Alligator mississippiensis: one gene and its partners. The protein of the gene in region 1 purifies or fractionates together with the protein of each later gene. This does not show direct contact. Links are inferred from orthologs where the notes say so. Each region holds a gene or a part of one and is shown in the gene's direction. Other genes may lie near its edges. The genes, in order: RBBP4, C15H17orf49, ZBTB2 and SHPRH.

Evidence for each region.
Region 2: the proteins of RBBP4 (region 1) and C15H17orf49 purify together in Homo sapiens (affinity purification with mass spectrometry; 5 studies listed by BioGRID and IntAct, with this or other methods). This does not show direct contact. The link is inferred for Alligator mississippiensis from reciprocal best matches to the Homo sapiens genes RBBP4 and BACC1.
Region 3: the proteins of RBBP4 (region 1) and ZBTB2 purify together in Homo sapiens (affinity purification with mass spectrometry; 3 studies listed by BioGRID and IntAct, with this or other methods). This does not show direct contact. The link is inferred for Alligator mississippiensis from reciprocal best matches to the Homo sapiens genes RBBP4 and ZBTB2.
Region 4: the proteins of RBBP4 (region 1) and SHPRH purify together in Homo sapiens (affinity purification with mass spectrometry; 4 studies listed by BioGRID and IntAct, with this or other methods). This does not show direct contact. The link is inferred for Alligator mississippiensis from reciprocal best matches to the Homo sapiens genes RBBP4 and SHPRH.

The regions. Positions count from the first base shown.
Region 1 is NC_081829.1:5,390,336-5,397,487, reverse strand, and holds the start of RBBP4 (histone-binding protein RBBP4), read left to right. Parts: upstream 1-4,143; 5' UTR 4,144-4,237; coding exon 4,238-4,253; intron 4,254-4,720; coding exon 4,721-4,868; intron 4,869-5,704; coding exon 5,705-5,850; intron 5,851-7,152. Other genes in the region: ZBTB8OS (protein archease), read right to left, coding at 90-211, 677-701, 2,161-2,248. UniProt on the Homo sapiens protein: Core histone-binding subunit that may target chromatin assembly factors, chromatin remodeling factors and histone deacetylases to their histone substrates in a manner that is regulated by nucleosomal DNA.
Region 2 is NC_081838.1:23,753,018-23,760,495, forward strand, and holds C15H17orf49 (chromatin complexes subunit BAP18), read left to right. Parts: upstream 1-4,469; 5' UTR 4,470-4,732; coding exon 4,733-4,753; intron 4,754-5,168; coding exon 5,169-5,263; intron 5,264-5,471; coding exon 5,472-5,573; intron 5,574-5,662; coding exon 5,663-5,817; intron 5,818-6,229; coding exon 6,230-6,331; intron 6,332-6,970; coding exon 6,971-7,035; 3' UTR 7,036-7,184; downstream 7,185-7,478. UniProt on the Homo sapiens protein: Component of chromatin complexes such as the MLL1/MLL and NURF complexes.
Region 3 is NC_081824.1:130,276,547-130,284,466, reverse strand, and holds the start of ZBTB2 (zinc finger and BTB domain-containing protein 2), read left to right. Parts: upstream 1-4,916; 5' UTR 4,917-5,114; intron 5,115-5,757; exon of another isoform or gene 5,758-6,429; intron 6,430-6,442; exon of another isoform or gene 6,443-6,916; intron 6,917-7,444; 5' UTR 7,445-7,470; coding exon 7,471-7,643; intron 7,644-7,920. UniProt on the Homo sapiens protein: May be involved in transcriptional regulation.
Region 4 is NC_081824.1:125,836,223-125,844,026, reverse strand, and holds the start of SHPRH (E3 ubiquitin-protein ligase SHPRH), read left to right. Parts: upstream 1-4,802; 5' UTR 4,803-5,084; intron 5,085-7,804. UniProt on the Homo sapiens protein: E3 ubiquitin-protein ligase involved in DNA repair.

The DNA.
Region 1 (7,152 bases):
CTACATGCAATAAGCCAGCTATTTCTGACTGAAAGGCAAAGTTAATTTCAACAGTATTCTCTTTCAAAGTTTGCACAGTGCCTTCTTACCTTCTGTCTGCACTTCTACAGTATCCAAGGGCTCCACAGTCTCTGTATCTGTTATGTAGCCAAACATGGCCATAGCACACTGCTCAAAAGCTTCTTCCAAAGTATCTCCCCAGGCATGTAACCTACAGAGACGTAAGAGTTACACCATCATACAGCAGCGACAAAGAAAGACGAGAAAATACAAGTAAGGAATTGGAGTACCATAGAAATACGAGTAGGAAAAGCAGCAAACACAGTGCCTTTAAGCAGGGAGACTTGTCTATGGTAAGTGCTGAAACACTGAAAGACAATGGAGTTTCTTTTGGAGGAACAACATGGAAAAATATTGAGTATTTTACTAAAAACCATGGATATCTAAACAGGTACTGTTGGAACATATGTACATGGAACATTTGGAAATAAGAGGCAGCAGAATTATGAAACAAATACAGCATCTTTAAATGTGGCATCCACAGGCCCAAAAGGGATATATTTGCACCCTATTCTCTTGTCACATTAGATTTTGTCAGTTACTCCTGATTGACAAGTATTGAAGAGAATCAGGCTTATAGAGAAATTCTACTCAAATTCCAGCTGTAAATACTCACTGAACATCAGCCGTGTGATCCAGATCTGAAGGATTAGGAGAAAAAAAGAAAGAGTTATGGAATTGTCAAAGTTGTTTAGAAAAACAACGCATGACTACTTGCAAGAAAATTCAGGTCCTGTTTTTATCATGAGAATATTTTGTGCATGTTTTGACACATCTGACCTCATATTAATAATGTTAATCTGACCTTTAGCTAAATATGCTATAAAAGGATCAATATGATAGCAGCACATAGTAGGTACCATAATAGGTTTTAAAAGAAAGCCACCAAGAAAAACAACCCCTCCATAATAAACCCATCACCTTGTTTCCACAAAAAGTACCCCCAATATATATGCATTTCATACCATCCTTCAATAGATGAAAATGTTATAGAGCTTTCCCAAACTATACAGGCCACATGGAAGAAACTTAAAGACAGAATTTGAACCCAAAACTCTTGTTTCAATTTTCTTCTCCTTGAAGTTGGTAACCTTCCCCCTGCCCCCCATATTGTAATCAGTCTCACATCAATGTTCACTTAAAATGCCAGAAAAGCATTTTAGATAATCTGTTTTATGGAGCAGCTCACAGAAATTTTGTTTCTCAAGGAACTTTTGATCTGACTTCCCTTGTGGGGATAAAAGAACAGATGGTGTAATAGGCCTGGCTTTACACTGTATCCCTAATATTGGTAGAATACCCTAAAACCCATCCAACTTGTGTTACTGGGGTTAAACTGGATATGAAAACCAGGCATTAATTCAAAATGAGTTGCATGCTTATGGGAACAAGCTGTGCAGTGTCAGTGGAAACCAGTATTCTGCAGAATTACTGCCAGATACAGTTGTGCCACTAAGATGCATAATACCGGGAGCTGCAGTGCTGAGCACTTGTTGTCTGCCCTTCAACCAGCAGGAGTTGAGGGGACTCAGTAACGCACAGGATCAGACCCTACCATACCTCCCTCCTTATAACAGCTCCACACTAAGGCATTATACTTAAGTTTTAAAACAAAATAAGCATTGGTACTTTGTTCTGAGCTGACTGGCTAATAAATCAGTGGTGGCAGATGTGATTTGCATAATTAACCAGCTCTTGGATTATAGTTTCTCCAATGAATATTATATTTTCTTAGTATGGTATCATCATTACCCCCTACTGCAAGTCAGTTTTGAGTGATAATACCACTTTTCATTTCACCCAGCAAGATTTGCTTCCTTCTCTTTTCAGGCTTTCAAAATAAACTTCCAGTTGCAAAGTCAGGAGTCACTAACTAGTTATGGCAACCTGCCTGGAGGTGCTGAACACACAGGGACTTCTTTAGGACCCATCGCACAAAGCTAAATGATCTCCGTTAAGATAACATATCAAGACGCATCAATAAGCCTCCCCTACCCACTTAGAGACAAGATCCCAGGGCACAGTGTGAAGCACAAGTTTTACACGTGCTTAGGTCTATACCTCCCCTCCCAGCCACAGACATGCCATGGGGATACTCACACTCATACTTCTTATTGAGTGGAGGGTACTTGGCTTTGATAGCCTTCTGCTCCTGGTTCAGGTTGTAATCCCGGAAATTATCAGCCATCACTGTCAGCCTTGCAGCACCTGCTTCCTGCTTTATTCAGACAGCCCCTCTTCGCCTGATCCAGCCCAGACTCACCATGTGATCCTACCCTTTAAAGGCAGAGCTCCCTGCTCGACTGGAGAGCAATGAGGACACCAAGTGGCACTGAAAATAAGTGAGGTTTGAAATGTGCACCCCTGAATTCTCCAGCCACAAAATCCTTTGCAAGGGTATTTTTTAGCCTGCAAAAACGTACTAGGCAGTGAGTCAATGAAGCTGAAAGAAGTTCTCAATGTGCCTAAAGTTAAGCTTCATTTTCAGGATCCGCACCACAAATAGCTTACACCTTGAGCTAGTGCCAGGCTGTCCTTTGGTTTAACTTGATTAATTTTGCGCAGCCTCAAGCATGCTGCTGCTGCTCAAGAAGAAGGAAAATAGCAAAAGAAAAGGAAAACACTGGCGATTTAGACTGTTTGAGGCTTCCACCAGGGGCCGAGCGCTATGAATGAAAGCGAAAGGGGGGAAACGATGAGATGGTTTCTAGAGTTAATTCCAGTAGAAGGAAAAGCTGGTATTTATTTATTTTTTAAATCTAAGACTAAATAAATACCATCAGTTACTCTGTTTTTTTAAAGATGGGAGTAAAGAATACAATTTGTAAGAAAAGTGTAGTCCTGTTCTCAGTGGTGGCCAAGGAGCAGCGGTCTGACGTTGCAGCAAGGGTGGTTTAGGTTGGATATTAGGAAATACTCTCTCACTGGGAGGGTGATGGTGATGAAGCACTGGAGCGGGTCACCTAGACAGATGGTGCAGTCTCCATCCTTGGAGGTTTTCAAAACCCAGCTTGGCAAAGCCTTCACTGGGATGATGTAGTTGGGGCTGGTCCTGCTCGGAGCAGGGGTTGGACTAGATGTGACCTCCCGAGGTCCCTCCAGCTCTCATGTTCTGTGATACGGTGATGATATCGGGTAGGTGTTCTCCAGCGTCCTCCTTCGGAGCCCCTGCGTGGTCTGCTTTATTCTCACACCGCTGCAAAATACTGACTCCAGTTGGAAATAATCAGCGTCTTTCCTGCTGCAGTGAAGAGCGAGGCCAGAGGCTAATCAGCAGCGATCCCGGTTTTCTCCGATTAAAAAAAATTTTTTTTTTAAATCCCCATTTTTCAGTTAAATCACAAAAAAATGTGGATTTTTTAAATGAAACCTCATTAATATATAGGTAAATACTAGTGATGTTTAATCTTAATCATGGAAAAACATGGATCTGGGATTACTTTAACTGAAAATTGGGGATATCCAGAGAAAACCAGGATCCCTAATAGTCAGCAAAGGCCGACCATAATGTCTCCTACACAGGACGCTCTTGTACAAAACTCTTACGATCTCCAGCGCTGATCGGACTCTTTGGGGGAAAATCAGAGGGGAAAAAAGAAACAAACCCCCACGTAGGAAGCAGATTCAGGCAAAAACTGAATTTTGTCCTTCAAACCTAGAACGAAACAAAAAGGGGGGCAAATAAATATTGCTTTATTCGAGATCAATATTGCTATATAGGCTAATAAATATTGCTTTATTCAAGATCCTCAATCCTGTCTGATCACAGGTTGCAGCGACTGGCAGGCAAGCCCTAGGCTGCTTGCTTTTCTGCCCCTCCCGCAGCAGCCTTGAGAAACAGGGTCAATGAGGCTTGAGCCCCAGCAAGGGCATGAGGGGCCGCTGGCCCTTTAAGGCGGCCCGCCATGCTGCCCCTCCGTCAGAAAATGGCGGCTCCCATGGGAGCTTCACCAGCGCCGGCCCCTCCCACGTGACCGTACAGCAAGCCCGCCGCCTCCTTAGGCCCGCCCTGTCAAGCGCCCGCCGGGCTCCTATTGGCGGCGGGCGCCCGGCCGCGGGCGGTGATTGGCGGGCGTTGGCGCGAAGGGCGCGCGGCGCCGGAGTGGCACGCAGAGGGGGTCGGAAACAATAGAGCGGCGGCTGCACCGAGCCGGCAGCCCGCGCCCCGCACCCCAACATGGCGGACAAGGAAGGTACGTGCGGCCGGGAGCAGGGCCTGGCGCCGCGGCCGGGAGTGGGACCTCCCCAGCCCTGCCGGAGCAAGCAGCCCTTGGGCCTCCCTTCTCTTCCTGTCCGGCTCCTCCGTGGGAGCCTTCAAAGAGGCATTTCCCCCCCCCTTTAATTAGCATGTGTTGCATAATTTTCCTTTAATTTGCATATTTGATATCATTGGCCCTTCATCTGCACAGCAAAGCCCCCAATTCTGGTTCTTGGGGGGGACTGAAATGCTTCCCCAGGTCTGTGCGCGGTGGGGGGGGCCCTTGGTAATGGGCCCGTGAGGGCCACGGAGGGCGGGCGGGCGGGTGGGAAGGTGCACCCTGGCAGTGGGTGGGTTTGTTTGGCAGCTACGGCAAAGCGACGGGGCCGCACGGGTAGGGTGCTAGCCGGACCCGCCGTTGAAATGAACACGTTCTTTTTTCCTCCCCTTGGCGACGTGCAGCAGCCTTCGACGATGCGGTGGAGGAGCGGGTGATCAACGAGGAGTACAAGATCTGGAAGAAGAACACGCCCTTCCTCTACGACCTGGTGATGACCCACGCGCTCGAGTGGCCCAGCTTGACTGCCCAGTGGCTTCCTGATGTAACCAGGTGAGTCGAGCCTCCTGGTTGTTGGTGTAAATGGGACTGAAGGACGCTTTCGCTGTCACGTATGGGAGGGAGTGGGTTGCTGCCGGCTGTGATCAGCTCTTTGGCCACAGTAGGTTGAGGACTGTTGTGCTGGCACCAGGCAGCACCTCTGCTGCCTGCTGCCTGGTGCCTCTTTGATTCAGAAATAGCTGCTGACTGGCAGCAAATGTTTCAGGCTGTGTTCAACCTGTAACTAAGTGATGTTTTCTTCTTTACCCTCCATTGATGAAGTTGCAAAATGAACGTACGCAGCATTTAGGTATTGTTCAAAACCCTTCTGCTGTGCAGCACAACTGTTCTTTCCCCGGGTCCCTGACACAATGTATTTTTCCACCTGTCACTTGCAGAAAATGCTAATATGCCTCAAGGCGTTACTCACGGGAGTACTAGTGGGAGAGTCCTGCGGGGAGAAGAGAGCTTGTATTGTGGGGATGTCAGATACAGATTTCCTTGCTGCTATCTGTCTAAGGTTGGACAGGGGTGATTTTGTTTGGGATAGCAGCAAGGAAATAGGTATCTGCTATCCGTCTAGGGTTGGACTGCGGTGATTTTGTTTGGGATAGCAGCAAGGAAATAGGTATCTGCTGTCCGTCTAGGGTTGGACTGCGGTGATTTTGTTTGGAAGATTTGATATTGGAGTAAGAGGGCATGGTCAGCGCTAAAAGATATATTATAATTTTTATTTTATTTATTTATTTTTGGAGGTTTAATTTCCAGGTCCAGGTTTGTTCCTGTGAGCCAACTATATCTAATTAACTCCCTTTCATTTCCCCTCCTGTAATCCTATTTTGTTGTAGACCCGAAGGCAAAGATTTCAGTATTCACCGGCTAGTCCTGGGGACACATACTTCAGACGAGCAAAATCATCTTGTGATAGCCAGCGTGCAGCTGCCCAATGACGATGCACAGTTTGATGCTTCACATTATGATAGCGAGAAAGGAGGTAAGAGTCTCGGATGATCAGCAAGTGGAGTTCCAAACTTTTTTTTCCCACTGGACATAATGGCTTTTTTCATTTGGAGTTAATAGATCATTAAGTAATATGGAACTTTTATCCTATGAAGTGATCAGGAGAGGTTACAACTTTTCCTCCTTTCTTCTTGGATCTGTGCACTGTACTCTAATCTTCCATATGCCATGCTGAATTAAACTTACTTTTTGCTTTTATAACATTTTGAAGAGGAGAGGGGTAGAACTTATTGGAAGATTGTGCAATAGAAATTATTTTAATTATTTCTCATTGTGACTGCATAAAGTATTCTTTATGATGGTAGCTTTCATAATTTGATAAAAGAGGCTTTCTGCCATTCCTTAGAGGGTGTACAATTTCAAGTGTTCTTTTTAGCTTGAATTCTGCTGACTGGTAGACGTGCCAGCCCCTCCAGAATAAAAGGATGATTGTATTTTGCTCAGTTAAATGCCATAATACCATGGGATCCAAACCAAATATATCAGTAACCTTCCTAGGCAGCCAGCATTCCTACCTATTAGCCATATCTTATTCTAGTTGGGTTAATGATTTCTTCCACGTTATACAACTTTTCCAGTTCAGTTGTCTCATTTCCTTGTTTGCCAGGAGCCAAGGTTGTGCAATTGATACCTTGATTGTTGGACTTGCTAGTACTGCTTGTAAACAAGATTCTGTCTAAAATACTTCATTTCAGGATTTCTGTTTCCCAGAAATATCAAATTTTAGTACCACTACTTCTTTTCTTTTGTTGTTGTCTTCAATTCCTTTTTGTTTTTTCAGAGTGAGTATTAAAGTATAGTATATTAAAAAGTTTTGCAATATTACTTGCGATCATAAGGCTGTAGATATCTTTTCCTTTTATTCTGTTTATTTCCTGAAATCTGCTTGTGATCCTGAAAATAGGTTTAGTTTTGACTTGGTTGTATATGATTAAAAGTGTGTGTGTGTGATAGAGAGAGAGATTCCTGTACAAAGTGTGTAAGTTGGGGTCTCTCTCGGTGCAGGTGCTGACAAATACTTGCTCTCCAATTCACAATACAAATGTTAAATATAGCTTCGGCAAATCTGTTGAGGAATTTCAGTCACTTATCTGATTTTTTCTTTTTTTATAACGGCTTTACGGCTACTTTATTTTTCCGTACAAGGCAGTTTGCTCTTTTGAATTGAATAGCAGATTGGAAGCCAGGTGCTCTTGACAATGAGGGATAGTGCTGTGGCCTTGAGCAATGCTGTCTTTCTACCTCAGTTTTCTCGTGTTTAAAACTAATAGTTTTT
Region 2 (7,478 bases), on another chromosome or scaffold:
TAACTAAAAATCCTGTGTTTAAAGAGATACTGTTGCAATAAAAATGCAATTGCAAATGGTTTGCGGGTTTCAGCTACTAAAAAATTCATTTAAAAAGTCAATTAAATTAAAATTAATTAAAATATGACCAACCAAAATCAAATCATCAATGATGATGAGGATAATGATTATCATGATAACGCTAATAACAATAATAATAATAAACAAATGAACTAATGAAAAAAATACAAGCAAAGCAAACATAATTTCCAGGTACCTTAAGTATAAAATAAAATGTTCTCCAGGCTTGTCTCATCAAAAAGCAAATGTTGTTGTTTCCACTTCAGTAATAAAACAAATGTTTTAATAATAAAAACAAAAGAAGTAAATGATGTTAACAGATAATAAATAAATACATGATATATAACAGTGGGTAAATACTAGTTGATAGAGAATGAATAAATGATAAAAACAGTAAATAAATGGTAAGTAAATAATAGTAACACATACAAATAAACTATAAAAACAATAAAAAATAAATGGTAAATACAACTAAATAATAATAAAAAATAAATAACCTTTGATAAAGAATAAATAATTATAAAAATGCACAGTAAATAAATAATTGATAGATAATGATTCAGGGATCCTGGATTTCTCTGTTTAAAAATGACAAATTCTCTGATTAAAACCCCCAACATCTGTGTTTTTCCCTGACTACAATGAAAGGCCACTATATGTCCAGGTATCAGTTGAACACAGCATTTTACTGATATATTTACAATTTTAAAGCAACCTGGAAGTTCGCTGGTGCCTCAGTCACTATAATGAAATAAATTCTAAATACCGATACATTTTTAATTTGATTGGGGAGGGGTTTATCATGGAAATACAAGCTCCCCCTGCGCTCCCCTAGACGCGGGTCCACCTACAGCCCCCCCGCGTGCTTTGTGGTGCTGAGCAGCCCGGCCCCTGCTGTTGCCTCTTAACCCCCCCCAGCCCGCAGCCCTGCCAGTTGCCCCCAACTGCCAGGGCTACCCGGGCCTGCAGCCCCCTGCCCCCCCGCATGGGCTCCGCAGGCAGCCACTGCAGACTCGGGCTCCCAGCCCTGCTGCCCTCCCTGGGGTTCCCGTTGCCCAGCAGGCAGGTCCCGGCATGGCAGTGCAGAGTGGGACCGGGCAGGGAAGCTCCTTGCCACTGTGAGCCCCATCCCACTCCCCGCCAGGCCTGTGGCCACACATAGCCCTGGACCCCACACAGCCCCTGGGATGAGCAGCAGCCCCAGCCCTACCTGACTCCCTCCCTATGGGGGACTCAATCTCTGCCCCCTCCCCCCCACCGAGTTACCTGAGGGAGCTGCTCTCCAGGCTGCCACATGCATGTGTGCGCACTCACACACACTGCACCCCTGCCTGAGCTCCCTCCTTCCGCTCCCCCTAGCCCCCCGCAGGCTGCCACTGCCAGCCCACATAGGGAAACCCATTTCCCGCATTTTCTCCTTTAAAGAAGAAAAATCCTTGCGTTTCTCCTTAAAATGAGAAAAATTGTGTTTTAGCATGAATGCAAAACCTGGATCGCTGCTGATAACCAATAATGAGCAGTTTGATTAACAGGATCTTCCTGCGACTTATTGCTTGGGCTCCCTCTTTATTTGCACAGCTACAAGAAGGCTTTGAAGATGCCCAGCTGCAGGGTACCAAAAAGGAACGGAGCAGCTACCACGCACAGTTCAGGATGCGAGATCTGCTCCTGCAATCGGTCAATCTCCTGGTGCACGGATCCACGCCTTGGAGAAGCTGACAAGACCAAGACCCTGGTGAGGTACTATCATTTTCACAGCTAAACAGACTGGACTTGGCTTTGCTTTAGGCTCATTTACCAGTGATGAGTTGCAGTAAATAAAGCCTTTGTCATTCATGCATTGAATTGCTGTGTCAGTCCTTTATGCGCTGGTCCCGAACCCCATTTCCTAACAAGCCTGGAGGTGGGAGAGCCAGGGCCAGAGGTACCCTGGAGGAGGGAGTGAGCTGACCCAGCAGACCAGGGGCTGAGACAGAGAAGCAGGGTGAGTCCCTGGCTGGAGGGGGGTGGGGGGTGTTTCTCCTCCAAGGGCCCCAATCTGGGCCTGATCCTGGGAGTCCTGGTTGCAGGTGGAAGGTTGTGGGGGGAGTCCTCTGAGTGTCAGGACTGACCCCCCCCAAAATCGCACAGGCCAGCAACTGCTGCTTCCCGGCCAAGCTGCATGTGATGCTGGGCAGCTTCTCCATGCCACCACGAGGCCCCTGCCAGGTCCGGGACCAGCCGCCACCACTTCTTTATGACCCCCCTGGACCATGATCCTTTGCTTCTACCCCCCCCAGCAGCTGGGGGGTGGGGCTCTGGGTAACGGGGACCCCTTGCTGGGAGCATCCCTAGCTCCTTGGACAGGCAGGAAGGGGATGAGGGGTTACCTGGTATTGGGGGCATCTAGCACGTTGCTACCCCACGTGGGGGTTCTGAGCCACAGGGAACCTGCTCCGGGCTGGTGCCCCCCCATGTGTCTGTCCCCCACCCTGAAGGTTTTGTCCTGTGCAATGAACGGGGTAGAGCTGGGAGGGCCTGGGGGTGGGGCAGAGTGGGTCTATAGGGGGGAGTGGGGGATGGCTCTATATGGGGGGGAGATTTCATAGACATTAGGGCTGGAAGGGACCTGGGAAGATCATCAAGTCCAGCCCTCCTGCCCCAGGGCAGGAAGTCAGCTGGGGTCATAGGATCCCAGCAAGCTAAACATTGAAATTTCTCTTGAAGGTGTTCAATGAAGTGCTTGAACCACCTCCGGCAGCAGGCTGTTCCAGACCTTAGGGGCTCAGACAATAAAGAAGTTCTTCCTTATGTCCAGCCTGAAACGGTCATGGAGGAGTTTGTGACCATTCGACCTTGTCATCCCTTGGGGCGCTCTGGTGAACAGACGTTCCCCCAGATCCTGGTGGTCACCCCTGATAAACTTATAAGTGGCCACCAGATCACCCCTGAGCCTGCACTTTTCCAAGCTGAAGAGCCGCATAGCTCTCAGCCTGTTGTCGTAAGGTCTGTTTTCCTGACCTCTGATCATACGTGTGGCTCTTCTCTGCACTCTCTCAAGCTTCTCCACATCCTTTTTGAATTGTGGAGCCCAAAACTGGACGCAGTACTTCAGCTGCGGCCTCACTAGGGCCGAGTACAAGGGGAGAATGACGTCCTGGGATTTGCTTGAGAAGCATCTATGGATGCAAGCCAGCGTTTTGCTCGCTTTACCAGCAGCATCACATTGAAGGCTCATGTTCACCTTGTGGTCAGTGATGACCTCAAGTCTCTTTCACCTGTACTGCTAGCCAGTGTAGCACTGCCGAGCCTATAAGGATGCTGCAGGTTTTTCTTCCCAAGGTGGAGAACCTTGCATTTTTCGGTGTTAAACACCATCAGGTTCTTGTCCGCCCATTTCCTGAGCCTGTCCAGGTCAGCCTGGATCGCCCTCCTGTCCTCCGGCGTGGATGCTTTGCCCCAGAGTTTGGTGTCATCGGCGAACTTGGCCAGTCCGCTTCTGACTCCAATGGCCACATAGTTAATGAAAATGTTGAACAATATGGGCCCAAGAGAGCCCTGAGGGACCCCACTGGTCACAGGGCACCACGATGATTGACTTCTGCCAACCACCACCCTCTGGGTCCGACCACGGAGCCAGTGGATCACGGTGAGGCCGGGGCCACAGTCAGCCAATTTTGCCAAGAGGTGATCACGAGATGCCAGACTGAAGGCTCAAGTCAAGATATACGACATCCATCTCCTCTCCCTTGTCCAGGTGACCGGTCACCTGGTCGTAGAAGGAAATGAAATTGGTCAGGCAAGACCTACCTGCAACAAGCCCGTGTGGCTACCCCTCAGGGTGTTGCCATCCGCCGGTCTGTTAAGAATGGCCTCTTTGATAATCTTCTCTAAGACCTTCCCTGGGATGGAGGTCAGGCTGACCGGCCTGTAGTTCCCTGGATCTACTCTCCTCCCCTTCACTGCATGGGCCACCTTCCAGTCTTCCGGCACTTCGCCTGATGGGAGGGGGTGGCTTGGTGGAGGGGAGTGGCCATGGATGGGGGTAGCGGGGTGGTCCCCAGGGCTTTCCCAGGTGCATTGTGGGTAGGGGGTGGGCTCTATTGGGGGGGCTGGCTGTATATTAGGGAGGGGCTGGGGGTTTCCTCTATGGGGGGGGGGGGGGGTCCCTCAAGGGCTTCCCCAGGTGCATGGTGGGTAGATGGGTGGGCTCCATGGGAGGGGGGGTTGGCTTTATGGGTGGGGAGCAGTGGCTCTATGGGCTCCCCAAGGGCTTTTCCAGGTGCATTGTGGGTAGATGGGGGGGCATTAGAGGGCGCCGGTCTACGGCTCCAGGCGGGAGGGGTAGGAAAGAGTTAAAGCCAGCGAGTGGGTGGTCCTCCACACCGCCTAGAGCGCCCGCCATTACCGCCGAGAACCTGGAGCTCCCAATCACCATAGAGACGTAGGCGACTCCGGCGGGAGCGTCTGCAGGGACCACCGAGACGCGCTGCTAGAGCGCTTCACCCACCCCCGCACCACCAAGGCGCTGGAGGATCCGGGCGGCTAGAGCGTCCGCCAACACCACCGAGGCACCAGGTGGTCCGGGGGGGAACGGAGCGGCCGCACCATCGAGACGCCGGCGGCCGACGGGGGCCAGAGCGCCCCACTTCCGGTCGTGCCAGGGCGGCGGCCGGGGCGGCGGCTGGGGGCTATGACTTCCGCCAGCACCAAGGTGGGGTCATGGGGGGCGGGGCCAGGATGGGGTGTGGGGCCTGCAGTGGGGGAGGGGCAGCGAGTTGGGTGGGGGAGGGGCCTGGGGTCCAGGGAACCCCTAAAAGGGGTGGAGGGGGTCATAGGGGAGGGACCACTGGGGCCCCCCATGGAGGGGGAGGGGCTTTGGGGGCAGCTCGGGGGGGGCTCTACAGGGGGGCGGGGCCCAGGGTGGAGGGACCCCCCCGCCAGGGTTGAGAAGCCCGCCCCATTTGTGGGGGGGGAATTAAGAGTACCTACTACGTTGTAGGGGGGCTCAGGGGTGGGATAGGGTTGCCCCCAGGGACTGGAGCTGGGGGAGCAGCAGGGTCAGAGGTCATGGCAGGTGAGGTCAAGGGGTCAGAGCACTGCCCTCAGCCCCCCACGCCCCCCCACAGGTCGGGGAGATCTTCTCAGCCGCCGGTGCTGCCTTCACCAAGCTGGGGGAGCTCACCATGCAGCTGCACCCTGTGGCCGATTCTTCCCCCGCGGGGTAAGCCCCGCCCCCTGCCTCCCACACCCCACCACCTTCCCCCTACACCTGCCCCCCAAACACCCCCAGTTGCCCCCTAAGCCCTGCTGCAGGGGGGTTGGGTCTCGGGGGCTGCCAAGAGGGGGTTTCGGATCGGGGGGGCCACTGGGGAGCGTTTATGGGCTGGGGGCTCCGGGCTGGGGGCCCCCTGACACCCCGCGCCCCCCAGGGCCAAGTGGACAGAGAGCGAGATCGAGATGCTGCGGGCGGCCGTGACGCGCTTCGGCGACGACCTCAACCGGCTCAGCGCCGTCATCAAGGAGCGCACGGTGTAAGGGCGGGGGCGGGGGCTGGAGGGGAGCCCCACACCCCTCAACCCCCGCCCCAGCTCACCGTGGCCCCACCCTCTCGCCCCCCCAGGGCCCAAATCAAGGCTACAGCCAAGCGCAAAGCCTACGAGGACAGCGGGGTGCCGCTGCCAGCTGACTCCCCCAAAAAGGGGCCCAAGAAGGGGGGGCACAGTGGGGTGCCCCCTGCCCCTGACGCCCCCCCTGCCAAGAAGCAGAAGGCCTCAGGTGAGCTGTGAAGCCCCCCCAATCCTGGGGTCCCCCCAGGCAGGGGATTGTGACCCCCCCATTCAATCCTGGGGCTCCCCTGGGCTGTGGGAGGGGCTTGAGACCCCCCCCCATTCAACCTTGAGGTGTCCCTGAGCAGCTGGATGGAGGCTGAGACCCCCCGTTCAGTCTTGGGGTCACCCCAGGCTGCAGCAGGGGTTGAGATGCCCCATTGAATTTTGGGATCCCCCCCAGCTGAGTGAGAGGTACTGAGACCTCCTTCCCATCCTGGGGTCCCCCTGGGTTGCAAGATGGGGTTTGAAACCCCCCCCCCATTCGGTATTGGGCTCCCCCGGGCCGGAACAGGGGGCTGTGTGCAGGGGAGGAAGTGGCAGGGGTTTTCGGGGGCCCCCCACCCATGCTGCTCCCCTAGACGTGACGCTGAGCGCCCTGAACGATGCGGATGCCAGCAGCGACCTGGTTGACATCGAGGGACTCGATGCACCGCCCCCTAAAAAGCTCAACTTCGACCAGGGTAAGGAGGAGCCGGGGGGGCCGCTGGTGGGGTGCGGGGAGGCCTCAGGATCAGCCTGGATCCCCAGCAGATGGTGGGGGGGCTCCAGTAGAGGAGAGCTGGGGGGGCTGTACATGATGGGGGGCCTGGCTGCTTGGGGGTGGTCCTTTGCTCCCTGCATCCCCAGGCCCCGCCCCCTTTCACCAGGCCCCGCCCCCAGTCCTTGAGATTAACCCCCCCCTACTCTTCAGCTCCTCCCCTCTTCCTCCAGGCTCCACCCACCCCCAGGCCATATAGGTCCCAGCCTCTGCCCCAGTCCAGGCTCTGCCCCAGTCTGCATAGGCCCCACCTCTACCTTCTCAGCCCCACCCCCCTTTCCTTGAGACTTTCCCTTGGCTTTGGAGACTCCACCCTCTTGCCCTGACCCTATTTCTCCAGGCTCCACAACTTTGCTCTATGAGCCCCAGCCCCTTCAGCAGGCCCCACCCCCTTTTCAGCCTCCCTGTCCTTTCCTTCTCTAGGCCCCACCCACTCCAGTCCTGGCCCCACCCCAGTGTCTTAGTCCCAACCTCCCAGGTTTAGGCCCCACCCCCTCCTGCTTTAGGCTCTGCCTCTCCTCCCCCCCCTTTCAGCCTCTCTCTGCTCTCTCTCCTCTCCCAGACAGCCTGACCTTGGACCCTGGGCTGCTCATGACCACTGGTGACCTGCCCCTGCTGTCGCGCTGACCCTGGCCAGCCAGACCACCGGACACCACCCTGAGCTTGAGGGGGCAGGACACTGGGGGTGTCCATCCCACCCCCCAGCCCCATCACTTGTTTTGAGGGTAGGGGGCTTGGGGCGGAGTGTGACAGTGAATAAAGGGCCTTCCCCTCTACCGCCTCCTGTGTGCCTCAGTTTCCCTTCTGGGAGCTGGTGGGGAGGGACCCGGCAATGCAAGCCCAGGGGTGGCTGGGGGGGGGGGGGGTGGCAATGGGGTGGGTCAGGGAAGGGGCAAGGGCCGGCATCAGGAATAGTTGACAAGGTTTCCACATAGCAATTAAGAGTCACATGGTCTCTGGGTGGCATTTGCATAACTAATGAGTGCATTTGCAAAGCTAATGAGGGCTGAGCACAATGGCGTAGGCAGCCTGCGTCATCTGCCATTGGTGGGTTTGCCCATAGGTAATGA
Region 3 (7,920 bases), on another chromosome or scaffold:
CATGAGCCCCTGCTACCTAGAGGTATGTAGAAAAACATTTCAAGCTGTCTCTGTCCGAATCGCCAAATCATTCCAAACTGAATCAGAGAGTTCCAATTCGATTTGGAGAGATTAAAGGGTCCTCTGATTCGATTCAGATTCGGCCACCAAATTGGGCCGAATCTCCACCAAATCGAATCAAGGACCAAAGGTTCGCATAGCCCTAGTATATGTATTAATGCTTTAAATTACCATTTTAGTTCAATTTGACCCATTTACTTGAAACACAGGAGCTACCACATTCCAACTACAGAATCTATGGCAAGTACCAAATCCATTTTTCTCTTACCCTGGCAAGGGTTTTTCCTCAAAAAACATAAATCTGGACTGTTGAAAGCTGTCCTGAGTAAAAAAAGAACTATTTTGAACAGCAGATTCTGAGAGGCACAGAGACTCCACCTCATTTGGAAGGTGTCAAGCAAGTCTCCAGTGGTACCTTCAACAACAGATACCAGTTAACTTGATTCCGATTCAAAATCAGTGTTGCAGCCACGACAGTCCAGGAAATGAGAGAAGCAAGGGTTTTACTTTGGTGATGTCTTAATGCAGCTGAGGTCAAACTTTTTTTTGGATAGGCATGCCACAAATTAGCCCTCCACAACTGCTACTCTGAGCCCTTTTCCTGCCGGTTTTCTGCTTCCTTGCCTTGTATTCCCTACCTGACCTGCTGCTGTGCTTTCTGCTCCATCTACCACCATGCTGAATGTTTTCCTCCCCTCCAGCCCTGATCATGCTACACACAAACACTGCCCATGCCACTTGTGACATTCGTGCTGCAGGCTGACCACCTGCTTTACTGGACCAACTGTAAAGCTGGAAGAGCTGTTAGGCAAGCTTTCAGGCACAAAACGCCCACCCTCAGGTCTTCTTTCCCACACCTGACGGACACTTTGTGCCAAAGGCTTGTCTAACATCTCTCCAGACTACACAACTGATCCAATAAGATATTACAAAAAAAAAAAAAAAAAACCCCCACACACACACAAAAAAAACAAAAAAGCCTTGCTTCTGAAATCAATTGTGCAAAGAAGAGTTGCACTTGAAGAGCATGGATATGTCTGTCTACCCCAGTTTCCCCCATGCTAAACTGAAACCTTACTTGTTTTGCTTGATGATCATCATCCCAGTAGCACGTGCATCACCAGTGGTTAACAATGTAATACTTGGTTCGTTTTGGCAATATTCTGGCTTTGAGTAAAAACAGAACAAGGACTATTGCTATGACATGTTATTTCAATTAAGACACAGGAAACAATCCTGAAGCCCACAGTTGTGTGAACAGTCATTCCTATTCTCAATTCCTGGACTTAAATAAGTAACACTTCCAGAACATAGTATTTTAAACAGCTTGTTCATTCCTAGCAAAAGTCATACAATTAGGAAAAGAAGTGTTGAGTATATTTATAAAAGACAAGTTAATCATCAACCTGAGGCAGGGCGAAAAGCCAGCCTATAACTATTTAAATGCATACATTAGCATTGTTACCACTAATTATTTTAATATAGAACACTTACAGATACATTTCATAACTTGGCTTGCCACTGAGAGTTGAAATATTTAATAAAATACAAGAGATTCAGGCAGGTCAGCTTTAAGAAATGTTAGATTTTGTAAAGCCAAAAATCAATGTGTTAAAAAGACCCTTCCCATTGGGACCTGAAAAATATTTCTTTAATACTTGCCAAACCTTTTGCCTGTTCATAAAGGTGGAATTATGGGAAGCAATTCTGAAACAAAATGACTTCTTTCCTTCTTGCCCAATCTAAAATTTAAAAAAATTGTGAAGCAGAAAAACAAACCTAAACAACAACAGAAACCACACACCCGTTTTTTTCCTCCTGATTTGAATCTGATATTTTGCTACAAATAGGAAGGAAGTCTGCTTTTAGAAATACCACATGGCTTAGCCATTCTAAGTACCTCAGAACCAAAGCCCGCTGAAGTCTATGGGAATCCTACCATTGACTTCAATAGGCTTTGGATCATAACTAATATCCTTTTAAATCAAGATAACATTTCTGCTTTGCTGATAATATGACATCACAAGTTCAATACAATTTTCTTCCATCTTTAAAGCCAGACTGTCTTCTCACCCATGATATGAATCAGGTGTAACCACCTGAAAGCCACACAAGTTGTACCAGTATACATTTAAATAGGAGAATCAGGAGTGCAATTATGAAGAAGGCTTTCTAGAAATACATGCTTTCCTGTTCAGTGTCCATTCAAAGCACTGCCTATAATTATTTCATTTTAAAGTTTCATTGATTTTGCTGGTTTCAAGTGAGTAGGTAAAACGTCTTGTGCAATAAGCTCCTAAATTCAAATGTCTAGCTTAACACCTACATTAGTTTTATTTTTCATCTTGTCAAATCAAATATGAAGCACTGTCACACACACCCTCCCCCTCCCCTCCCCCCCATTCTGGCAGGTAAACTAGAAGCATTCCAATCTATTAGTTAAAAACATAATTTAAAGTTTCTTTAATCATGTGTTAAACACAACAGCTCTTTAAGCTGTTACAGTTGATCATAAATATAGTTAGGTGCATGAGAAATGCTCAACCTGCTCTGTAAAGTAGCTATTCTTCAAACTTCAATAAGCTCCTTCATTCACAATAGAAAATACAAGCTAGAAACTTAATTTTCAGTCTGACTAGCACAAGAGACACTGGGATCAGTATTTATAAACTAAATTACATGTAGCCTGATTAGATTTAACTTGTATAATATGGATTAAAAAATAATTTAATATTTATGGGCAAGAAGCTGCCAATGGACCACACTGCTCCTGCCAGAACTCCACTGGCTTCAGCAGCCCTTCACACATTCCTGGATAGATCTGTCCCAATATCAACTTAGTTCTTGTAAAATGTGATGACAGGTTGCCCTGAAGTCTGCAATAGTCTGCTGATCAACAGATACAGACTGAGACATGCTGCTGGGGAAGTTACGTCTCAGTCACACCTGGCTCTACAGGTGAAAAGTTAGTTTGTTTTCTTGCATTTGTGCATTGCACACTTCGTTTACTGAGTGCAAACCGAAGTGCCAAACACTTACTTGGGAAGCTGATGCCCGTCTCCTACAAAAAGGGCTGAGAGAAATAAAGCAAGTTCACTTGACAGCCATAAATAAATGATTCTTTACTTGATAACAACCAGGACTGAACTTCAAACTATAGACATGGGACTAACTTACTGCTACTAACAAATGGAAAACTCTCAGTTAATGATAAGGCTCTAAAGCAGTGATTCATAACTAGGGTGGTGCAGCATGCTGGGGTGCTCCAAGACTCCTTCAAGGCTGCCATAGGGGGCTGCACAACCGTAGCAGTCTTAGGAATGGAAACATGAGTCAAAATATAAATTCAGAGAAAATAAACAGAAATTCATATTAAAAGCCTTCTGATCTGTGACCTGAGTTCTTTGCAACAGCAGAACCGGTCTATTATTTTTCTGTAGTCAAAAAAAGAAAAAAGTGAAAACCAAGATAACATTTTCAGGGGGGGTCCCTTGAATCCAAAAAGGTTGGAAGCCAATGCTCCAAATCATTACTCCTAATAATCAACACTTTTTCAACAAAAAATGAGTTCTCTCAAGTTTTCACTGATAAAATATCTGCTTTGTGCCCACACACTGTTTTTCAAACTCAATTTTCATTAGGGAAAAAAAAAAGTTTTAGGACCAAAATTATTCACAACCCATCACCAACTTCCTTGAGCTGCCAACTGGTTGGCACATTAATCAGTTCAGGTCTGGACTTTCAGTCTGGCCTGCAGCAAAAATGGATGTGGCATGTATAAAAGGGTCCTCCCTTTATTTACCAGGCAAATCCTCTGCCCCTTGCAAAAGAGATTCACCCCGATTCATATAAACAGCTAAAAACAAGAAGTAAACTTTGTTGGTCACATTTATTTGTGCTACTTCATATCTGTAGGTCCTGTATCATATATTAGATTTAGTCATGAGTTTTACCACAGCAGTTCTCAAAAAAGGAAAAAAAGGGGCCTGCAAGTATGTAACATAGCAGACCCAAACTTGTATTTCCTCAACTTCCCAAAAGCACAAACCAATGTTTGCCAACTTTTTCACTTAAGTCTTTAGCCGGCATCAGGATCTGTTACAGGACAGTAGCCACCCCTCCCTCCCTTGATTAACCTTTCAGCACCCAGCACTACAGAAACACAGTGGAGTTTCCACCTTGACAGGCCTTTCCCATTTCACCTGCACAGGAGCCTTCCCACCTCCTCCTGCACTAGGGCACAACCCTTTGCAACAGGCCATGCCAGCTTGCTCGCACTCTCGGTGCATTTTATTTTTTATTAGGTTTTTTGGGGGGTTTTTTGTACAGAGGAGCCTGTTGATGACAACTAAAAAAATGAACTAGTTTGCTGACAAGTAAAAAGAGGAGCCGCTTGGCCAAGATTCGGCAGCTTGCCCCTTGACTCCTGCATGCCCTGGGCTCAGGTCACGGCTGCAGCACGGGCACTTTTCAGGCCTCTCAAACGAGCATGCCCAGCCCCCCGGGAACGGGCAGTGCGGGGGGGGGGGGGGGGGAGGAGGCTGCGGCAGAGACATAAGGGCAGCGGGTGCCCTTAATCCTCCCCAGCGCAGGAAGTTCAGCTGGCCCCAGTGCCAGGCCCCGGTGCAGGATGCGCTCAAGATGATGCGGCCGGGCCCGGGCGGCAGGCAGAGGCAGGCTCCGGAACAATGCAAGGCGGCCCGGGCCGCGGATGGCGGGAAGCGCGGGGGGGAGGAGAGCAGCGAGGCAGGAGGCGGCGGCGGCGGCCCGGTCGGTGCGGCCTGCGGGAGGGGGAGGGGCGGGGAGGGGCTGGGTGGCTCCTGCTGCTGCTGCTGCCGCCGCCACAGCGCTCGCCGCCTCCCCTCCCCCCCGGCGGGGGCTCCTCGCCTCGCTGCAGCCTCTGTGCTCCGCTCGCGGTCATGTGACCCGAACGTAACCGGACAGGAAAAGCCGCCGCCGCCGCCGCGCTGACTCCGTTGTTGCTGCTGCCGCCGCCGCCGCTGCGAGCGCAAAGCCGAGCGCGGCGCGGCGGCACCAGGCCCGGCCTGCTCCAGGTGAGCCAGGCGGGGGCGCGGGGCGAGCGGGCGGGGGGCTCCGGGGCGGGGCGGGGGAGATGGAGGGGGGTGCAGCCCCAGGCGGGCCCGGCTCGGCTCGGCTCGGCTCGCCTGCCTCGGCGCGGCGGTTGGGGCCCGCGCGGCCTTGGCGCGCTGTCTGGCGGCATCCGGAGCGGGGAGGGGAGGGCGGGGGCGGAGGGCGGGGGCGGCCCCGTCTCTCTCGCTCGCTCTCTCTCGCTCTCCCTGTCGGCGCGCGGCAGCAACGGCCGCTCCCGTCTCGCGCGCCCTGGCGGCTCCCGTCTCGCGCTGCGCGTCTCAGTGCGCCGGCTCCGTCCGGCCCCCTCGTGCGCGCGTGGCGGCCGCGTCGCGTCGCGTCCGCGTCCGCGTCGCGTGCGGCGCCGGGGGGGAGGGGAGGGAGGGACCACAGCCAATGAGAGCCGTGCCCGCCCTTCCGCCCGCCCTTCCGCCCCGCCGGCCAATGGGAGGGCGCCGTCACCTTCCCCCCCACCCTCCCCGCTCGGAGGAGACGTGCTCTGCCTGGTGGCGGAGAGGAGAGGAGAGTGGGGCGGGGGGCGGAGGAGCAGGTCCCGCCCCCCCAGCCGCAAGGCGGGGGGGGGGGGGGGGGGGGTGAGGTCAGCGTGATCGGCAGTTCCTCGCGCGGGGCCTCTCGCGGCGCCCGGGGGGAGGAGGCGCGGGCGGCTCCCCCTCCCCCTTGGCGCCATGCACCGCGCGGCACCGGCTGCTGCCGCCCCTCCCCCCCCCTGCAGCAGGGCGGGAAGGAGCCTCGGCCCCTGGGCATGTGCTGCACAGCTCCCGTGTAACCCACCCCCGGCGGCATGAGGAGGCCTCGGGCCCGTGCCGCGGCCGCCCTGCAGCGCCGTCGGGCTGAGGGGAAGCTGCTTGCGAGGTCCGGGCGCTTCTGTCCCCGGCGCCAGGGCGGGCCCTTGCAGCCGCTTGGCAACCAAAAAGCGGAGAGCGGTCGCAGCCCCTGCAAAGGTCACGAGCAGGCGCCCGGGCTGGGTTGTCGGGCTGGCCTGGACACACACACAGACAGACAGCCATGGCATCTCTGGGACGGGAGGGAACAGGTGCTCAGCACCGCCACACAGGACATAAAGCTGTTACTGTGGCAGGGCAAACTTGGGTAGGTGGGTGGAAACTGAAGAGCACCTCTTTGCTTAGTTGACATTGAGAGAGAGGGGAAAATAAAGTGCCATCAGCACTGCCTCCTTATCACGCTGACATCTCCTACCCAAGTACAGACAGGACCTGCCCAGCCCAGTCATGAAAGCAAAGCTGCAAGCCAGCCTGCAAGGTGACCCTAAATTCTGCCTGCATGGCATGTCTTGGAGGGTTGAAGACTGCCTTTGTGTGTTGTTAGGGCAGTGAGGATTTTCTGTTTTGCTCAAGAATTAAATCAGCAGCAAACAGCCAAATGCTAAAGTGAACAGCCTTTCTGGTAGCATCGAACCTCCTCTTCCCTCCCCCACCACAATCAGTCAGTACCTGTAACGTAAATAGGGTGGTTTCTTCTCCCCCTTCCCCACTTCTGACTTATGTTACACAAATTCTGATCTTGTGTGAACTGAGGCAGTGGGACATGTTCAGGCCATGGAGTGACTGCCCTTTGTTACAGCATACGAGTTCTGTCATCCTTCAGCCAGTTTGGGAAGTGTCCAACCCCACCTATGCCACAGATCTATAAGCCCACGTCAAATATGCCACCCCTGAGAGATCCTGAAAGAAATCAACAGCTCTTAGCTTCTGCCTGCCTGCTCCAAATTACCAGTTGCTCTCATCAGGTGCTTTTTTAAGCCCTTCCCTTGGGGGTTGTTGGAATTAATCTGACTTTTTTCCCCAGTTTCCCTGTAGACAGGTGGTGAGTTTCATTTCTGTCATCAGTGTTATTTTCTACCTACATAGACTTGTTTGTGTACATGACTGAAACCCTAATACATGCATTTTTACTAGCTGAACAGATTAGGACAACAAATTATGCAGTTGGAAGTCTGAAAATTTTTTAATTTCATTTTGTTTCGCTCTTTCTCTTCCTCTCCCCTCCTTCCCCCCCCCCCCTTGGATTTTGATCATTTCTCTCTCATCTAAATCTCACTCTAATGCCTTTTACTTCAGCTACTTACTTGCTCTGTGATCCAGGGCAAGTCACTACAACCTGTATCTTATTTTGCCATTTTATAACATGGGAATAATTAACCATTTTGAGATATTGTTTATAAAGCACTTTAACATTCTTACATGAAGGGTACAGTACGATTATAGCATACAAATATTGGGGAAAGAGGTTTACATGTGTCACTAATTTTACATAGGTCATTTCCTTTTCAGAGTGTAAAACATGGATTTGGCCAACCATGGACTTATTCTGCTGCAGCAGCTGAATGCTCAAAGAGAGTTTGGTTTCCTGTGTGACTGCACAGTTGCTATTGGTGATGTCTACTTCAAGGCCCACAAATCTGTCCTTGCATCTTTCTCAAACTACTTCAAGATGTTGTTTGTTCATCAGACCAGGTAACTATAAAAAGATTGACTGTTTAACACGTTATTCAGTTCAGGCAAGAAAGCCTAGGTGCATTCTGAAAAACGTTTATTTAATTTCTTATTACTGTTCAAAGAAAACCTGGAATCAGTTCTTATTTGTGAAAAACCTTTAAAAAGGACACTTCATGTCTATGAATAAACTGTCAAGGAATCCAGTCTTTTCCCACTGCTACTTATAATTAGTACTTTTCACTCTTGTCATCTGCTCAACGTTAACCCTTTTAATGTCTGTAAAAGAATGGACAAG
Region 4 (7,804 bases), on another chromosome or scaffold:
AGCATGTGCCCCTGCTCATGGAGAAGCGGTCTATGGGTGCATCCAGATGAGTGGGAACATGTCCTTTGCGGCATCTCAAAGACTCTTGAGATGCTGCAAAATTCACTTGGTGCAAGTGAAAAGGTTCTTTGCACAGCATATTTCCAATGTGAAGCCAAAACTAGATTCTGGAAAAGCATGGTATCTAAAAAAATGCTTCAAAGAAAAGTGGGGGCGGTGCATATTGCTGCAACATGTGCCACCCAAAACTGGAGCCTGGCTGGCCAAAGCCATGCTCTGGCTGCTGGCCAGACTCTGCGCTTGGATCGATGACATTGCAGCCCCAGAAGGCCCCCAGAACCCCAGGTAAGGCTGCTGGGACCAGCCCAGGTGCTGGCCCCAGCCTCCCCTACTCCACCTGTGGCTATTTGTCATCCATCAGTGTGCATGAAGGAGCATACCTTGGAGACAAGCAGCTGCTCTTTGTCCCCAGGGAAATGCACATGTATGCTTGTGGGGACATGCCCTATGGGGCATAAGTCACCTTCCAGAGTTTAACAGACAAAATACTCTGTCCACACTGGGCATATGCATGTACATACCGGAATGATGTGGTAATATTCACCAGCACCTAGCAGGTGGACATCTAGCAGGTGAAGGCAGTGCTTCATTCACTGTTCACTTCAAGTGGCAGGCCTCGCAACTAATCCAGCTGAGTGTCAGTTCAGATGTACTAGGGGTACCCCTAGGAATACTAGGGGTACCCCTAGGAAATAGAAGGATTAAACTCCTGGTAGGTACAGTAAAGGCACTGGTAAAATCCCCAGTGACCACAATGAAGCAGCAAGCAAAGTTGTTTTTAGGGCTGGCAAGGTATTGTTAGTGCTTTATCCCATAGTACCAGTATAAACCTACTTTGTGGTAGGGCACCCAAGAAGGTGTGATGGTCTGCAGAGTATGCAGAGGCATTGGGGACTATAAAAAGGCTCCTATGCAGTGCCCCAGTACTGCATGGCCCAGACTTCATAAAATAATTCATACTGCAGAATGATTCTTTGGAGTGAGGTTGGGGAGCCATTTTCTCCCAAGAGTTTGAGGACAGGGAACACCTAATCCTGTATTTAAGTAGGAAGCTCCTTCCCTGGCAACAGAAAAGTTCAGTGATAGAGCAAGAGTGTCTTACAATTAAGTGGGCAATTGGTACTACCCCCTGGGTGTTCCTTTTACCTTTTTCACTGACCGTGGCCTGCTAATGTGCCAGAATGGGGAGACAATGGGATTTGATTTCTAGGGATGTCCAATTGCTGTGTGGTGGGGGGCCACAGATGCCCTTGTGTAAGCTGTATGGGATTCCCCCCATCATGTGATCTCCTTTCTCTCCTGCACTGCACCACGCCATGCCACATACCCCCTACCCACAGTGCACCATGCGAGCCTGCCCTGTTGCACTGTACCACTGCCCCATGTCTTGCTGTGGCATCCTCCCCTAAATGGCATGCCTCCCCTACCATGCCACCCACCACTGGCACCATGCTGGGTCCCAAGGTCCCTGCCTGAGTTCCCTCAGCCACAGGCTCCATCTTCTCCACACTGTACCACTCCCAGGGGCAGGGGTAGGCAGCAGAAAGTGGAGGAAGAAAGGAGAGCCAGAGACTCCAGGAGAGCAATGGAGGGAGTGGTGCTCAGTCTAGGAACTATGGGGACTGCAGGTTAACTCCTTAGGGCATAGACTACTAGTTGGATGACCCTGTTCTTTCCAAATAGATATGGTAGCAGCATAGACAAATGCTGCTTTCAACAGAAAACTAGGCATCAACAGGCACTCCAAGAGTACAGACTACAGACTTCCTAAACTGCAGACTGAATTGGCCAATCGTAGGTTCCCTTGACCAAAGACGACTGCCCTGTAATTTGTTTGCTAAATACTGTACTCCAACTATACAGAACTTAATTCTTAAATTCAGTTAAATTAACTTTTTGTTGGCTTTGACTATATTCTCTATGAGCTTGTTTAGCAATGGGAGATTTGATGGTAGGGTGGTTAAAACCAACGTGTCCGTGGTCAGGCTACTGCACATCTGAAGAAAAAGGGAAAATTCCCTCCCTGAATTGTCCATTTCAGTTCAGAATAGCACCATTTGTATATGACTCTCCACTAGCCATGGATATCAGGAGTTGGGAGAAAAGTCTTGGGCTATATTTAATTTAGGGTGTCCTGAACCTCTTGTTGAGTGGGAATGGTAAACTGGGAATGGAGTTGTTGGTCGAAGGGTATAGAAAGAGCAGTTCCAAGGTATTCAAGACTTCCCTCATGTACATGATCTTTTCAGCAAAGTAGACTGACACTTGGTGCTCCATTTTGTTGCTATTTATAATTATTCTGGATTAATTGGTTTACCACCACTTTTGTGACAGGATTTGGTAGATTAATAGGAGGACGATCAGAAGGTTGACCCTCTTGGCCCTCATACCTCAAGGGAACAAATATATTACTCTCCCTTCAGTCCTTGTATTGCTGTGATTTTAGTTATTATAAGAACACTTCTAAGTAAATATAGTTCGATATCTGTTTAATTTTACTCATCCTTTTTGTCATTATAGATTTCAGATTGGATATAAAAATCTGATGTTAGGATATCAGACTAAAGCCATTATGATGAAACTCAAAACATTACAAAATAATTGCTAAAACCCTGAGGGTATGATTCTCCACTGCACTGTGTTTAGTTTTAACTGCGCTTAGTTTAGTTTAGCTCTGCAAAAATCAACAGTACTTCCCTGCTGAAAATTAGTCTAAAACAGTGAAGGATTATGCCCATGGATGGTTTCAGTTATTCTTGGGAAATGTGGTTAGGGCACTAAAAAGTAGCAACATATTGTATATTCTCTTCAATCCTGTGCTTTCAAAATTTTGCATATATAGAGATCTATTAGGGCAGGGGCAGGCAATTATTTTGGGCAGAGGGCCGCTTAGCAAGTTTCAGCAAGCCATTGAGGGCCGCATGACAGGCAACCCAGGGCAGATTAATATTAATTTTCTAAATTTTTTAGGGGCCCCGCAGGCCAGATAGAATGGTTTGGCAGGCTGCATCCGGCCCCAGGCTGCTTTTTGCCCACCTCTGTATTAGGGTCATTGTACATAGATAATATTATGGTAGCTGTGATTTTGAAAGCACTGCTACATACTGCCAACTGTACTTATGCTGAATATCAACTTGCTCCATTAGTAGTGCCAGGAAAGCCTTTGGAATTACAGGCAGGCAAGGTTCTTAGACCAACACGGCTACAACCAAAAACCCAGCAACAATGGGATTACAGGTACTTAAAGATGAACATTTGCTTAAATGCCTTGCTGGATCATAGCCTGTTTTGGAATTAGGTGCTATTCAACCTGAGGAAAGAGTACCAAAATCTGGTATCAAAATCAAAGTACTTGCTCAAGAGAGAGAAAAAAAGGCATCTTCTGTTTCAAAACACGTCCTTGATTCATATCCATTTAAACCTATGGGAGGGTGGAAATCCCACTACAACTAACACCTAATAAGTTGTTGTAATACCTTTAGGGGTGTCAAAAAGGTGGTCCATAGGCCAGATCTTACTTGTGGAGCCTCATCATCTGGCTCCCGGTGCTGGGCCAGTATGAGACCCCTGCATGCTGAACCCAGCACCTGTAGCACCTGCTCCATCCGGTCCAAGACCATGCCACACATAGCACCTATTCCAGTCAGTCTGGGATACAACCACTCCAGTCTGTCTGGGGTGGGCAGTGCATGCAGTGTGGGTCCCACAGTGGAAGCCATATGCATCCTGCACTGGCTACAGTGGGACTGGATCCAGCCTGCTGAGAAAGGTGCAATGGGGGACGGGACACATTCTTCTGGACCACAGACCAGTCCTATGCTGCTCGTCCAGTTTGCAGGACAGGTCAGATAAGTTCAGCACCCCGCTTTAAGCCAAACACAACTGGAAGCTCCATCAAACCCAAGCAATTTCTATGATGATGGATTCCTTCATTTCTTTCCATCTCTGATTAGAGATCAGTAGGTTCTGCAGCAAGACTGGGTCTTGCTTTTCCACAACTTTGCAAATTTTGAAGTGAACTATGTACTGTATTGTATTAGATTAAATCAGCCCTTCTTTCTCTCTTCGCTAGTTACTCACAAGCACACTTTTTAAAGGAACTTTTTGTGACTTAAAACGTATTCAGTGGCTGCAACTTTTTTCACAAACAAATTTCAGTGCATGGACTGCTTGTAAATGCTTGCTGTCTCTCCTGCTTTGAAGCCTTGCTAGCAATAAGTCACTATTTGTGGCCTGAGGTGAGGTATTTTCTCTTTTTTTTTTTTTTGACTAGATAAACCCCCATGGTTGTGAGGGTTTTGATTGTCTTGCTGCAAATGCTCATGCCCTGGGCTATTTTCATGAGGAGCCCTACAAACTCCCTTTCCAATGTGTCTCTGTAAAAAAAGGGGGTTATAAACATCTGTACAAACAAGCCATAAAAGGGGTGACGCAGATGCTTTGTAATGGAGCAGCCTTTTATTCTAAGGGATAGTTAAAACTTTGTTTTAGTAACGTTCATGGCATTTAGGAGCAAGGCTAGAAAGCGCCCCATCTCACGGGGAAAAAAGCCTAGACCCAAAAGCAGTCTCAACCCAGATCCTCCTCTGTCCACGTGCCCCTCAACCGCCTCCCTATGCGCATGCGCCTCACAGGCCCCTCCTTCTTCTGCCCGACTACTGCCCGCCTACCCCCTTCGGCTTCCAAATCGATACTACGCATGCGCTGCCTTCCTAGCTTGTTGGTTCCAGCGCTCACTCCCCGAGAGGCTTCGGAGGGGGGTGGGGGCTGTAGTTGCCTCCCGCGGGGCTGACTGACCCCTCCCCTCCCCTCACCCATGACGTAGTTGGAATGTGGTCTCCGGCGGTTCCAACCACTGGCAGGGGGGTCCGGGTCCGTCCCGCGACTGCGCAAGCGCGAGTGCTGTCTCCGCTGCCCGGTGGTGAGGGGCGTGGCGTCGTGACGTCTGCGCGCCCCATTCGGAGGGCCGCGGCCTGAGGTGGCCGGGCGGCGGGGGGGCGCTCGCGCGGGGCGGGCGTGACCAGGTAACGGGCTCGCGCGGCGGGGCAGCGAGTGGGGGGGCAGCGACCCCAGGGTCCGTTGTGACCGGGGGGAGGGGGCGTGAGAGGGCATCGCTAGCACGGGAGGGGCAAGTACGGGGGCTGGCAGGGGAGAGCCAGGGGCTTACCGTGGGGGTCCGTCTCCCTGAGCCCTACCCCCAGGAGAGCTGCTTTGTTGGTTGTTCATCTGTGGGCAAAACCCCAAAGTGCGAAGGCAGACCCGGTGTTTTCTGGGCGTTGTGCAGTTAGGGGTGAAAACCCCTTATGCGGGAATGAAACCCAGAGATTTGGGATAGAAACGTGCCACCCAACCCTGATACACAGGTGCTTTTAATTAGCACGGCTCGCTCATTAAAGCGCCCAGCTTTGCGTCCCGCAACACGTGTGAAAAATGCTCTGAGAGCCATGCTAATTAAAAGCATCTGTAGCCATCATGTATCAGTATCCATGTGCTGAAAAACAGTGGCAGGGTGCTTTGAGCTAAGGCTCAAATGAACTTTAGTTTAAAGCATCCCGCCACCATTTTTCAGTGCAGGGGCACTGATTCACGTGGCGCTGGAGTCTGCTGGAGCGCAGTAACTTCTGCGTCCCACCAGACTTGATTAATTAATTGGGTGCTCCGACACACTAGAATGACAGAGCATTTGAGCAGCCTCCTGTGTGTGTGTGTGTGTGTGTGTGTGTGCGTGCGTGCGCGTGCCCTCAGTTCTTGGGCAACAGAAGAATGACTCTGCCATTTTTCTGTAGGCAAAAACCCAAGTGAGAAGGAAGAGCTGGTGTTTTCCAAGAGTTGCCTTGGGTCGGGGGATTCTCAGCTGGGAGAATCGCACCATGGCAGTGTGAACCCCAATTCAGGAATGAAACCCACAGATTTTGGATAGGAATCTGCAGTGCGATGAAACGTTGTGGTCTCTTAGTTCTTGGGCAACAGAAGAATGGCTCTCATTTTTCTATAGGCAAAAACCGAAGTGCAGAGAAAGAGCTGGCAGTTTCCCAGGGATGCCTCGGGTCTGGTGATTCTCAGGGTGCTGAGATGGATCCTTTTCACGGTGCTGCCGGGTGTTAGCACTGTGGGGTGTGCACATGTGATTTGCAAGATAAACCTCTAGATTTGATCTAGGAATCCACAACTGGGATCTTTTCGAGTTCTTTGCTGTAGGAAAACCGCTCTGTTATTTTTCCATAGGCAGAAAACCCAAGTGAGAAGGAACAGCTGGCATTTTCTAAGAGCTGTGTTGATTCTCAGCTGGGGAGGTCATGAAGTGTTAGCATGGTTAGGGATGCAAACATGATTTATAAGAGAAACCTAGAGATTTCAGATGGGAATCGTGTGAAAAAAATTGTTGCAGTCTCCCTTGAATTCTTGGCCAACAGAAGAATAGCTCTATAGTTTTCTGGTGGTCAAAAACCCAAATGAAAACAAAGAGCTGGCAGTTTTCAAGGGCTGCCTCCAGTCCAGTCCAGTGATTGTCAGCTGGGTTACTGAGGCACCCTGGGGGGCCTCAAGAAGATCCTATCCAGGGTGGTAGCACTGTGAAGTAATGCAAAGATGATTGAAATGATAAAACCTGCACTTCTCAAATAGGAATCCAGCTGCACTCTCTCAGTCCTTTGCAAACAAAATAATCACACTTTGGTTTTTTTGTCAAAAAAGGAGAGAAAACAAGGATCTGGCACTTTCCAAGGGCTGCGTCAGACTTGGTGATTCTCAGCCCACTTTGGGGTGCCTCAGAATCCTTTCTGGGCTGCTGCCTTGCGCCACAGTGTTAGTGCTGTGAGGTGTGCACACATGATTTCTAAGATAAACCCACAGATTTCACTTTGGAGTCTACGGTTACAGTTTTTCTGTTGCAAAAACTCTTAAAAACTGCTCAGTTTTTGGGGGTTTTTTTTAACTCCAAAGTAAAAAAAAAAACCAAAAACAAGTGATTTTTAAAAAATGAAAATAAAAATAAACCATTTTTCTGTAACTAAAATAGAACTGAGAAAACTAAGACCTGACATTTTCCAAGGCATGCCTCCAGTCAAAAAAAAAGAAGAGACTGAAAAACACTAGTATTAAAAAAAGAAAAAAAGGCAGGGATTCCTTGGGATGTCATGGAGCAGGGTCCCCAGGGGTGAATGGGATGCCCTTGGCAGCTCTGTGACCCTGCAGGCTCTGCCCCAAGGGCACTCTCTTGTCAGTAAAATAAATCAGGAGGCTGCCCACGGGCCCTTGCTTGGTCCCAGTCCGCTGAACCTCACTCGAGCTTACTAGTTTTTGAGCCCTTTTGCTGGGCCTCTCAAGTACTGTGCTGAATGGGGACCTCAGGCCTTATGGGCCAGTTGCATGGCTCCAGACCTTTCCTTTACCATGCCCCATGCCTCACGGGTGTTATACAGATGTTATACCCTCTGTTGGGGCCTTGTCCTACTCAGCCTCCACCCCTTTCATATAGCTAGGTCTTTTAATCTAGACCCCTTGTGCTAGATCCAATATTGAGGCACTAGCTTTAATCAGTCTCCTTTAGTTACTGGGCCCCTGGCCCTTATCTGCTGTGCCTCTCTGGCACTGGGCTTTCCAGGCCCTGTAGCTGCGCCCCTCTGGGCACTAATGAGGTTTTCACCTCCCCTAATAGTCTCATCCCAAACCACCAGTACAGACAATAACACGAACATAAGCCCCAGGGCTGTAATGTAACAACAACCATAAAGGCAGCACTCTG